2 linked regions of the Macaca mulatta genome follow. The protein of the gene in region 1 purifies or fractionates together with the protein of each later gene. This does not show direct contact. Links are inferred from orthologs where the notes say so. Each region holds a gene or a part of one and is shown in the gene's direction. Other genes may lie near its edges.

Region 1 (4,417 bases):
CTCTACTAAAAAATACAAAAAAAAAAAAAAAACTAGCCGGGCGAGGTGGTGGGCGCCTGTAGTCCCAGCTACTCGGGAGGCTGAGGCAGGAGAATGGCGTAAACCCGGGAGGCGGAGCTTGCAGTGAGCTGAGATCCGGCCACTGCACTCCAGCCTGGGAGACAGAGCGAGACTCCGTCTCAAAAAAAAAAAAAAAAAAAAAGTTTTTTCTTTCAAGTTCCTATGAATCATTTACCATGTGCCAGTCACTACGCTAAATGCTGTACATACGTTTAATCATTATAATTGCTTGTGTTGGGTATAATTAATCCCCTTTTACAGAAGCTGATGAAACAGCCGGGTGTGGTGGCAAGCACCTGTAGTCCTAGCTATTTGGGAGGCTGAGGTGGAAGAATCGCTTGAACCTGGGAGGAGGAGGTTGCAGTGGGCCGTGATCGCGCCACTGTGCGACGACCTGGGTGATAGAGCAAGACCCTGTCTCAAACAAAACAAAACAAAAAAACAAAAAACTGATGAGACAGGGAGAAGTAATGTGTGGAACTAGGGTTGGAACCAAGATCTGTCCGATTCCGAAATTGTGTGTGTAGAACTCTCACGGTATTCTGGCTTTTCTAGGAAATGTTTTTTAGGCAGTTATCCTAGGACACGCCTTCCTAAGAGAAAGGAGTACTGTATTCTGAACCACGGGGACCAAAGACTGTCCCCACATCTCATTTCGGTTATGATTATCTCGAAAGTCCCTCAGTTCCAGGGTGGACATTCAAGCCAAAAGGACCTATAAGGGGTCAAAGTTCAAGCACAATTTTACAAATGGGGAGGGCGAAGGGTAGCCCCAAATCACAATGAGAAGGGCAGGAGACCCACTTTGTTATTGTCTCTTTTTCCTCACAACTTCCTCTTTGTAGTTAAGAAGGGAAGCAGAAGCTGACCTTTCTGTCTTACCCCGTTTCTCACGTGGAACTGCCGCACCCAGGGTGGGTAACGTGCCCAAGGGCATATTTGCCTGTGGGCTGGCCTGCGGGAAGGTCTGTTGCCACCGAAAAGACCCACATTCTCAGCACATCCTAATCAAGTAGCTACTAAGTGGAGGGACCGCAGACTGGGTGTCACAGGGAGGGGCCTGCAGCGACCAGGCCCGTCCCAGGATGGCTGCCGAGGCCCCTGGATCCACAGTGGGGAGGGCCCCGAGAACCGGGGGACCTGGGTTCCCTTCCGGGGCACGCCTTTGGAACTGCGGCGTCCAGCCGCACAACCGTCACTATGGGGCCACGGCAATCCCTGCGCCCATCCTCGGTCCCCGCTGCCTCTGGGCTCTTTATAGGCGGGGGACACGCGCCGGCGTCACAAAGCGCCGCGACCGCGCGGGAGGCCAAGAGGCGTGGAAGCGGGAGGAGGAGGAGGAGGAGGAGGTGGTAGTGTAGGAGAGCCAGGCACGGTGGGGGGAGGGGAGGGAGGGGCGCGCGCACGCGCGTCGGGTCGCCAGCCGCTGAGAGCCGCCCAGCTCCCGGCGTGCGCCCCTCCTCCCTCTCTCCCTCCCTCCCTCCCTCCCTGCTTCTCGGCTCCGTAGCTCCCGCGGCGCGAGGCGCTCTCGCTCTCCTCCTCCTCCTCCTCCTCCGCCGTCGCCCCTCCCCCCGCGCAGCCGCCGCCGCCACCGCCGCGAGACCCCCGCACGCCGCTCTCCCCCCACCCCCTCCAGCCCCGCGCGCCCTCCGGTCCCTACGGCCCCCGAAGAGAACGAGAGGGCGAGCGAGCGCGGCGTTCCCGGGCCGGCCCGGCCCCCTCCCTTCACCATCGCCGGCCCTCCGCCGCCTTCCTCCGCTTCCACCACCTCTCCCCCCCCCCCAAAGTTGAGGCCCCCCTCCTGGGGGGGGGAGGACCGGGACCGGGACCCGGAGCGAATTCCCCTAACTCCCTCGACCTCTCCTCTCGCCTGGCCCGAGTGTGAGGAGAAGGGCCCGGCCCGGCCCGCGTCGTGTGTGAGGAGGACCGCGGGCGGGCCCACGGGCCGTGTGGGGCCTGGTCCGGCCCGCCGGGTGTGTGAAGACCGGGGCCCGGTGCGGCCCGGCCCGAGGGCAAGCGGAGGGGAGGGGCCTGGTCCGGCCCGGCCGGTGCGTGAGGACTGGGGCCCGGGCCCGGCGCCGCCGCCGCCGCCGCCGCCGCGATGGCCCAGCAGCAGATGACCAGCTCGCAGAAGGCCCTGATGCTCGAGCTGAAATCCCTGCAGGAGGAACCGGTGGAGGGCTTCCGGATCACCCTGGTGGACGAGTCCGACCTCTACAACTGGGAGGTGGCCATCTTCGGGCCCCCTAACACCCTCTACGAAGGCGGCTACTTCAAGGTACCCTCACCCCCGCTCCCGGACCCTGCCTCCGCGGCCGAGGCCTCCGGCTCCCCGCCGCTTTCTGCCGTTCCTGGGACCAGGAGTATGAGCACGGGCCAGTGGAGGGGGCTCCTCACCCCGGCAGCCCCCTCCCCCATCCGTGGAGGCAGGAAGGCCTTGCTCGCCGAGTGCCTTTTCTTTGTCATGGGGGCGGGGGCGCGGGCGAGGGCGGGAGGGCAGGCTGCACCGGGAAATCGGAGAGTCTCTCTCTGGTTAGGGTAGTGGCTACAGGCGCAGGAGGCCGTCTTTGTTTCCCCAGCTGAGGGCGGGTGGAAAGAGCGGTGGTCTGTCTGTGCTTTCTCGTCCTCCCGTCGGAACCCCTCCCTGCGCAGGCTGGAACTGCCCCAGAGGGCAGGGTGACCTGCACCGACTGGATTGGACTTTTCTTTTTTGGGGGGTGGGGGTGAGGGTGGGGGAGGGGCACCAGCTTGTCATTTAAGAAGCTGCCGAGTGCCCTGACATTTTGAGGATTTGTTGGACTTCTTGGGTAGTAGTAGTGCCAACTTTGCATTCCAATGGGTGGTGGTGAAGAATGGGACCCTAGGGGTGGTTAAAAAAAAGGGGTGCCCGCGTCGTCTTGTCATTATCCTTTTGGGGGAACTTTAACCCTCTTTCCGTTCACATTCTCTGCTTACCTCAGTCACTGGTTCTTTCAAAATGCCCTTTGTCCTCACCGTGCCACCAAGTTTGCCAGCCTTTTTTTCTACAGGTAGAAATATCCACAGAGGGTGGAACGAGTCATGTAGGGAGATTGATAGCTTCCCACTCTCAGAGACAAAATTGAAACCTTCTCAAGTGGTTAACTCTAGCTAAAGGGGTGGTCTCACAGGTGACAAGTACCTGAGGCGAGATCGCTTCTCTGGGTGGGATATATGTTTGCTTAGCGACCACAGACATTGTTTCTATTGTTTCATATGGTTTTAGAACAGTGGTTATTCTAGAATCTAATGGGTTTTTTTTTTTTTTTTTTTTAACTCCAAGGTAGTTAACCTGGAGATAATGAGTGTTTGTTTTGTTTTGTTTTTACTTGAGTGTTTTTGCAGGGAGGAATCACAGATTGAAAGTTTGAATGTTTTAAATGATGCGGGCAGAGACAGAGGAAATGAGTGCTTAGGAATCCATTTAGTTTTATTTTTTTATTTCCAAAATTAAGTAAAATAGGCCAGTGAGTCAATTTTAGTTTGGAAGGGAGGGGTTATCTTGGCACAAGTTTTAAATGAGTATCTTAGTCATGTAGTTGTGATGTGTATTTTTAGGACTACCCAATTACTTAACTCTTGTTTTCTACCCTTCTAAAGGTGGAAACCTCAGTTTTATGCTTGAAATTAGGTCAACTTTATAGGAGATGGGATTTATACAGGAATGTTTAATATTCGCTACTGTGATAGTCACTGAATACTTAGAAAAAGCACGTTTTTAGAATATTATGTAAGTGCGGTACCCCTACCGACTGTTAGGCTTCATCTTTTGTGGTCAGCCTACCCTATACTTTTCAGATGGAGGTATTTAAAATTTCTAAGAAAACATGCAAGTTATTAGTAACAAAGTGGAAAGGTATTGCTGTGTTTATGTTAAGCATATTCTCTGTTGTCAGATATAAATTTTTATGCATACTGGAAAAATGAGTTGTACAAAATTGAATCTATGTGATGCCTTTCTTTTTTTTTTTTTTTTTTTTGAGACTGAGTCTTGCTCTGTCACCCTGGCTGGAGTGCAGTGGTGTGATCTTGTCTCAGTGCAACCACTGCCTCCCAGGTTCAAGCGATTCTCCTGTCTCAGCCTCCCAAGCAGCTGGGACTACAGGTGCACACCACCACGCCCAGCTAATTTTTGTATTTTAGTAGAGATGGGGTTTCACCATATTGGCCAGGCTGGTCTTGAACTCCTGACCCTGTGATCAGCCCACCTTGGCCTCCCAAAGTGCTGGGATTACAGGCGTGAGCCACCGGCCCGGCCATGATGCCTTTTCTGACAAAGCATTGTTTAGCAAAATCTGCTGGCTAATGTTAGTGGAATAAAGTTTACTTTCCAAAAAAT
Region 2 (3,646 bases), on another chromosome or scaffold:
TACAGGGATCGGCTGGTTGTTAGTGGATCATCAGATAATACCATTAGGTGGGTAGAAGTTGGTGTGCTGACAGAGCAGGCTGATTCTTGCCACGTTGTTGACTCATCTCCTAGTTCTAATGCTCAAAACAACTCAGAGTAAATGGGATGTTTCAGATAAGAAAGCTTTAGGTAACTTTTAGAAATGTATTTGGCTCTGTATACTCAAGTGGGAAAACCGTGTATGCCCTGGGTGGTCTTCCAGTGTTCCCCCAGTACATAAAGTTTTTTAACCTCAACTCCACCCAGGATCACTTAATATCAGAGCACTTCAGAACAGACTAGGGTGCTGCAGCCCAACTCGCTCTGACTTCCCTCACCTGTAAGCTCCCAGCTCCCTACCTAATACATGGGAGTGTACTTTATTTTTCTCTCCCAAGACTGCATTATGGAATCATCCATTCCTGCCGGGATCGTTTACCTCCATTTTTCCTTCCCAGCCCTCAGCCTCCTTGCTTTCTAATAAATCTAACTAACCTTAGACATTTTGTATCTTGTTAAGAACATGCCTTCAATATCTACTTAATTATCCCGTGCCATTTCCCCACTGTCTTAACACACTCTAGTGGCTTTACATAAGTGACTAAACTTAACTTTGGTTTATAATCAAATTGACTAATGTTTGGTCAAAATAAAGATAGGGTTCAAGATTATTAAAAAAAAATACACATACTAGTAGCTTTACATAAGCTTTACTAAACTTTGGTGTTTATAACCAAATTGCCTAATGTTCGTTCAAAATAAAGATTGGGTTTAAGATTATTACAAAGTTTTTTTTTAAAGGCAAGCAAATAACAAAAAAGCTATAACGGCTCTTTAAGTTTGCTTTATCATTTTAGGCTTTAAGATACCATAAAGTTAGTTTAGAGCTTAAATCTTGATTCTCTTATATTCGTCACGCTTTGTGGTATTGCTTAATGTTTCATCAGTAAACAGTTCTTAACCTCCTCACTGGAATTGTTGAGGTTTTACAAGATAGTAATGTGTATTACTCTGCAGCTTATAGAAGAGAACCACTTTGGAGTCATAGAGGCAGTACTGAATGACTTTGATCACAGATTAGAGATGCTGTCATCACGGGTACTAAGATTTGCTAAGGGCAGCTGTAATAAAATGATCTTTGGATGTATCATAGGAATTACTGGTAGAGAGGCTAAGAAAAAGTTATGATAGAATTAATTTGCTCACTTTATTTTGTACATGCTAACTAGCTATGATTTTTTTTTCTGCAAATACGGTAGAAAATCAGTCATAATAGGAAAAAAGATCTCTAACTCCAGAATGGAGTTATATGCAGAGAAAAAGATTTGGTGTAGTCAATGGGTTTATATTTCCGCCAGAACACTGCGTGTACCTAATCAGTCTCCCACTCTGACCTTGTACATCAATTCCAGTATTCAGCATATAGTATCAAGGAAGGGGTATCCACAGGCCTCATCAAGAGAGAGCTGCTGGTCCACCAGTTCTAACCTCAGTGGTCCTCATGGACTCCACTGTGCTAGAATTACCTTGGGCGGAAGCTTTACCCGATGGCTGTATGTGATATCTCCCTTCCCACCTTGTCTCATCTGTGCTTTTTCTCCTTTACTGCCTACAATCCCTGTCTCCCCAGAAAAGTCTTTCCTACACCATTTGTCTACATGGTTTTTATCAACTCAGACATCAAGAGAATGCCTAAGAACTAAATAGAATTGACGTTTCTTGTTTGTTGATTTTATTTAAATAGTAATACAGACACATGATTAAAAACAGTTTCAAATCATATAAAAGGAAATAGAATAAAAAGTAAGGCTTCCTCCTAGGTTAGTGCTTGGAAACACACAGATGGTATAAATGTATACATATAGCTTTATATGTGTGGTGTGTACTGGAAGTGAGATAGAAATAAAGAGTTCCAAGATAGTGAAAAATTATATCTGTATGGAACAGATATAAAAAACTTACAGATAGTGTGAATCATGTGTGGGAAATTGTTTCACAGAGGTCTGTTTTTCATTCAAGGCTCTGGGATATTGAATGTGGTGCCTGTTTAAGAGTCCTAGAGGGACATGAAGAATTGGTCCGATGCATCCGGTTTGATAACAAGAGGATTGTCAGTGGGGCCTATGATGGGTATGTCTTTCAGATTTTCAGATGTACTGCTATAACTATATCAACAAGAAAAAGAAATGTTGTATATTAAGCAACTCTGTATGTACCAGGTCCTATGGTAGGTTTCTGTGTAGTGGTGGATGGCAGGTATTATTATACCAGTTGTTTAGGTGAGGACACTCAGGCCCAGAAAGAACTAAATCTTGCCCCAAATGACAGAGGCAGAGTCACTGTGGTTCCTAAACTTATGCTTTGAGTCATTGTTGTAAACTCCAGCAATAGCTGAGGTTGTGAGTGTACTCACTTCTTTGCTTTACCCCTAAATTAAGCCAGGCGCTCTCTCTCTGTCTCTCTGTCTCTGTGTGTGTGTATGTGTGTTCTTTTTCTCTCTGTGTGTGTGTATGTGTGTTCTTTTTCTCTCTGTGTGTGTGTGTATGTGTGTTCTTTTTCTCTCTGTGTGTGTGTATGTGTGTTCTTTTTCTCTCTGTGTGTGTGTATGTGTGTTCTTTTTCTCTCTGTGTGTGTGTGTATGTGTGTTCTTTTTCTCTCTGTGTGTGTGTATGTGTGTTCTTTTTCTCTCTGTGTGTGTGTATGTGTGTTCTTTTTCTCTCTGTGTGTGTGTATGTGTGTTCTTTTTCTCTGTGTGTGTGTGTGTTCATGTGTTCAATAATAAGTTTCTTCTTTTCCCCTTTTGGTAAATTGAACAAACCCTCTTTAAAACACCTCACTATATTTTAAATGGGCAAATGGCAACTGTAAATCTTTCCAGATGACCTTATATATACTTCCCAAATGGGTTGGTTGGTCTGTCTGTACTCCTATTACTAACTTCCAGCATTTGCTTAATTTGGAGAAAGGTATCCTTGGAATTTCACACAGAGCCCTAGCTTCTGTCAGCAGCACCTCCTCAGCCCTAGAGAGTCCCCTGATGAATGAACTTGGTGACACAGGTTATCAGGTCCGGAACTGAATTTAGATAACCTGAAGTTGTTTTCTTATCTCCCTTAAAATAATATTTCTTTAAAATTTCAGCAATTCTGAGAATGTGTTGGTTCTTAATTTTTCTGAAGTCAAGTGTAATTGGTTCAGATGATTTGTAAAAACATAAGCATGTTCCCCATTAGCTTTTATAAATAGGCAGTTCAGATGCACTACTTTTTGTCAAGGAAATGTTTGACAGCATATAAATTGTTCATTTTTCCACTAATCACATCTCATTTCCCTTTCTAGGAAAATTAAAGTTTGGGACTTGCAAGCTGCTCTTGACCCTCGAGCCCCAGCGAGCACATTGTGTTTGCGCACATTGGTGGTACGTGACCTCTTAAGACAGGAATTGGTTCCCTGTGCTGGAGGATGACCATTTGCAGATAGCCCTGTCTAGGTGTATCACAGGAGCGCTTGTGTATCTCACAAGATGCCTTCAGAGAATTTCACTGTTCATTTTGTTTAGCCAAAATCAGAGAATATTTGATGCTTACATTACTGTGAGCACTTTTCTAAGGGGAGACATAATGCAA

The links. The genes of interacting proteins can lie anywhere in the genome.
Region 2: the proteins of UBE2R2 (region 1) and FBXW11 purify together in Homo sapiens (affinity purification with mass spectrometry; 4 studies listed by BioGRID and IntAct, with this or other methods). This does not show direct contact. The link is inferred for Macaca mulatta from reciprocal best matches to the Homo sapiens genes UBE2R2 and FBXW11.

The regions. Positions count from the first base shown.
Region 1 is NC_133420.1:65,882,068-65,886,484, reverse strand, and holds the start of UBE2R2 (ubiquitin-conjugating enzyme E2 R2), read left to right. Parts: upstream 1-1,550; 5' UTR 1,551-2,161; coding exon 2,162-2,338; intron 2,339-4,417. UniProt on the Homo sapiens protein: E2 ubiquitin-conjugating enzyme that accepts ubiquitin from an E1 ubiquitin-activating protein, and catalyzes its covalent attachment to other proteins by an E3 ubiquitin-protein ligase complex.
Region 2 is NC_133411.1:180,718,374-180,722,019, reverse strand, and holds part of FBXW11 (F-box/WD repeat-containing protein 11), read left to right. Parts: coding exon 1-47; intron 48-2,039; coding exon 2,040-2,150; intron 2,151-3,359; coding exon 3,360-3,438; intron 3,439-3,646.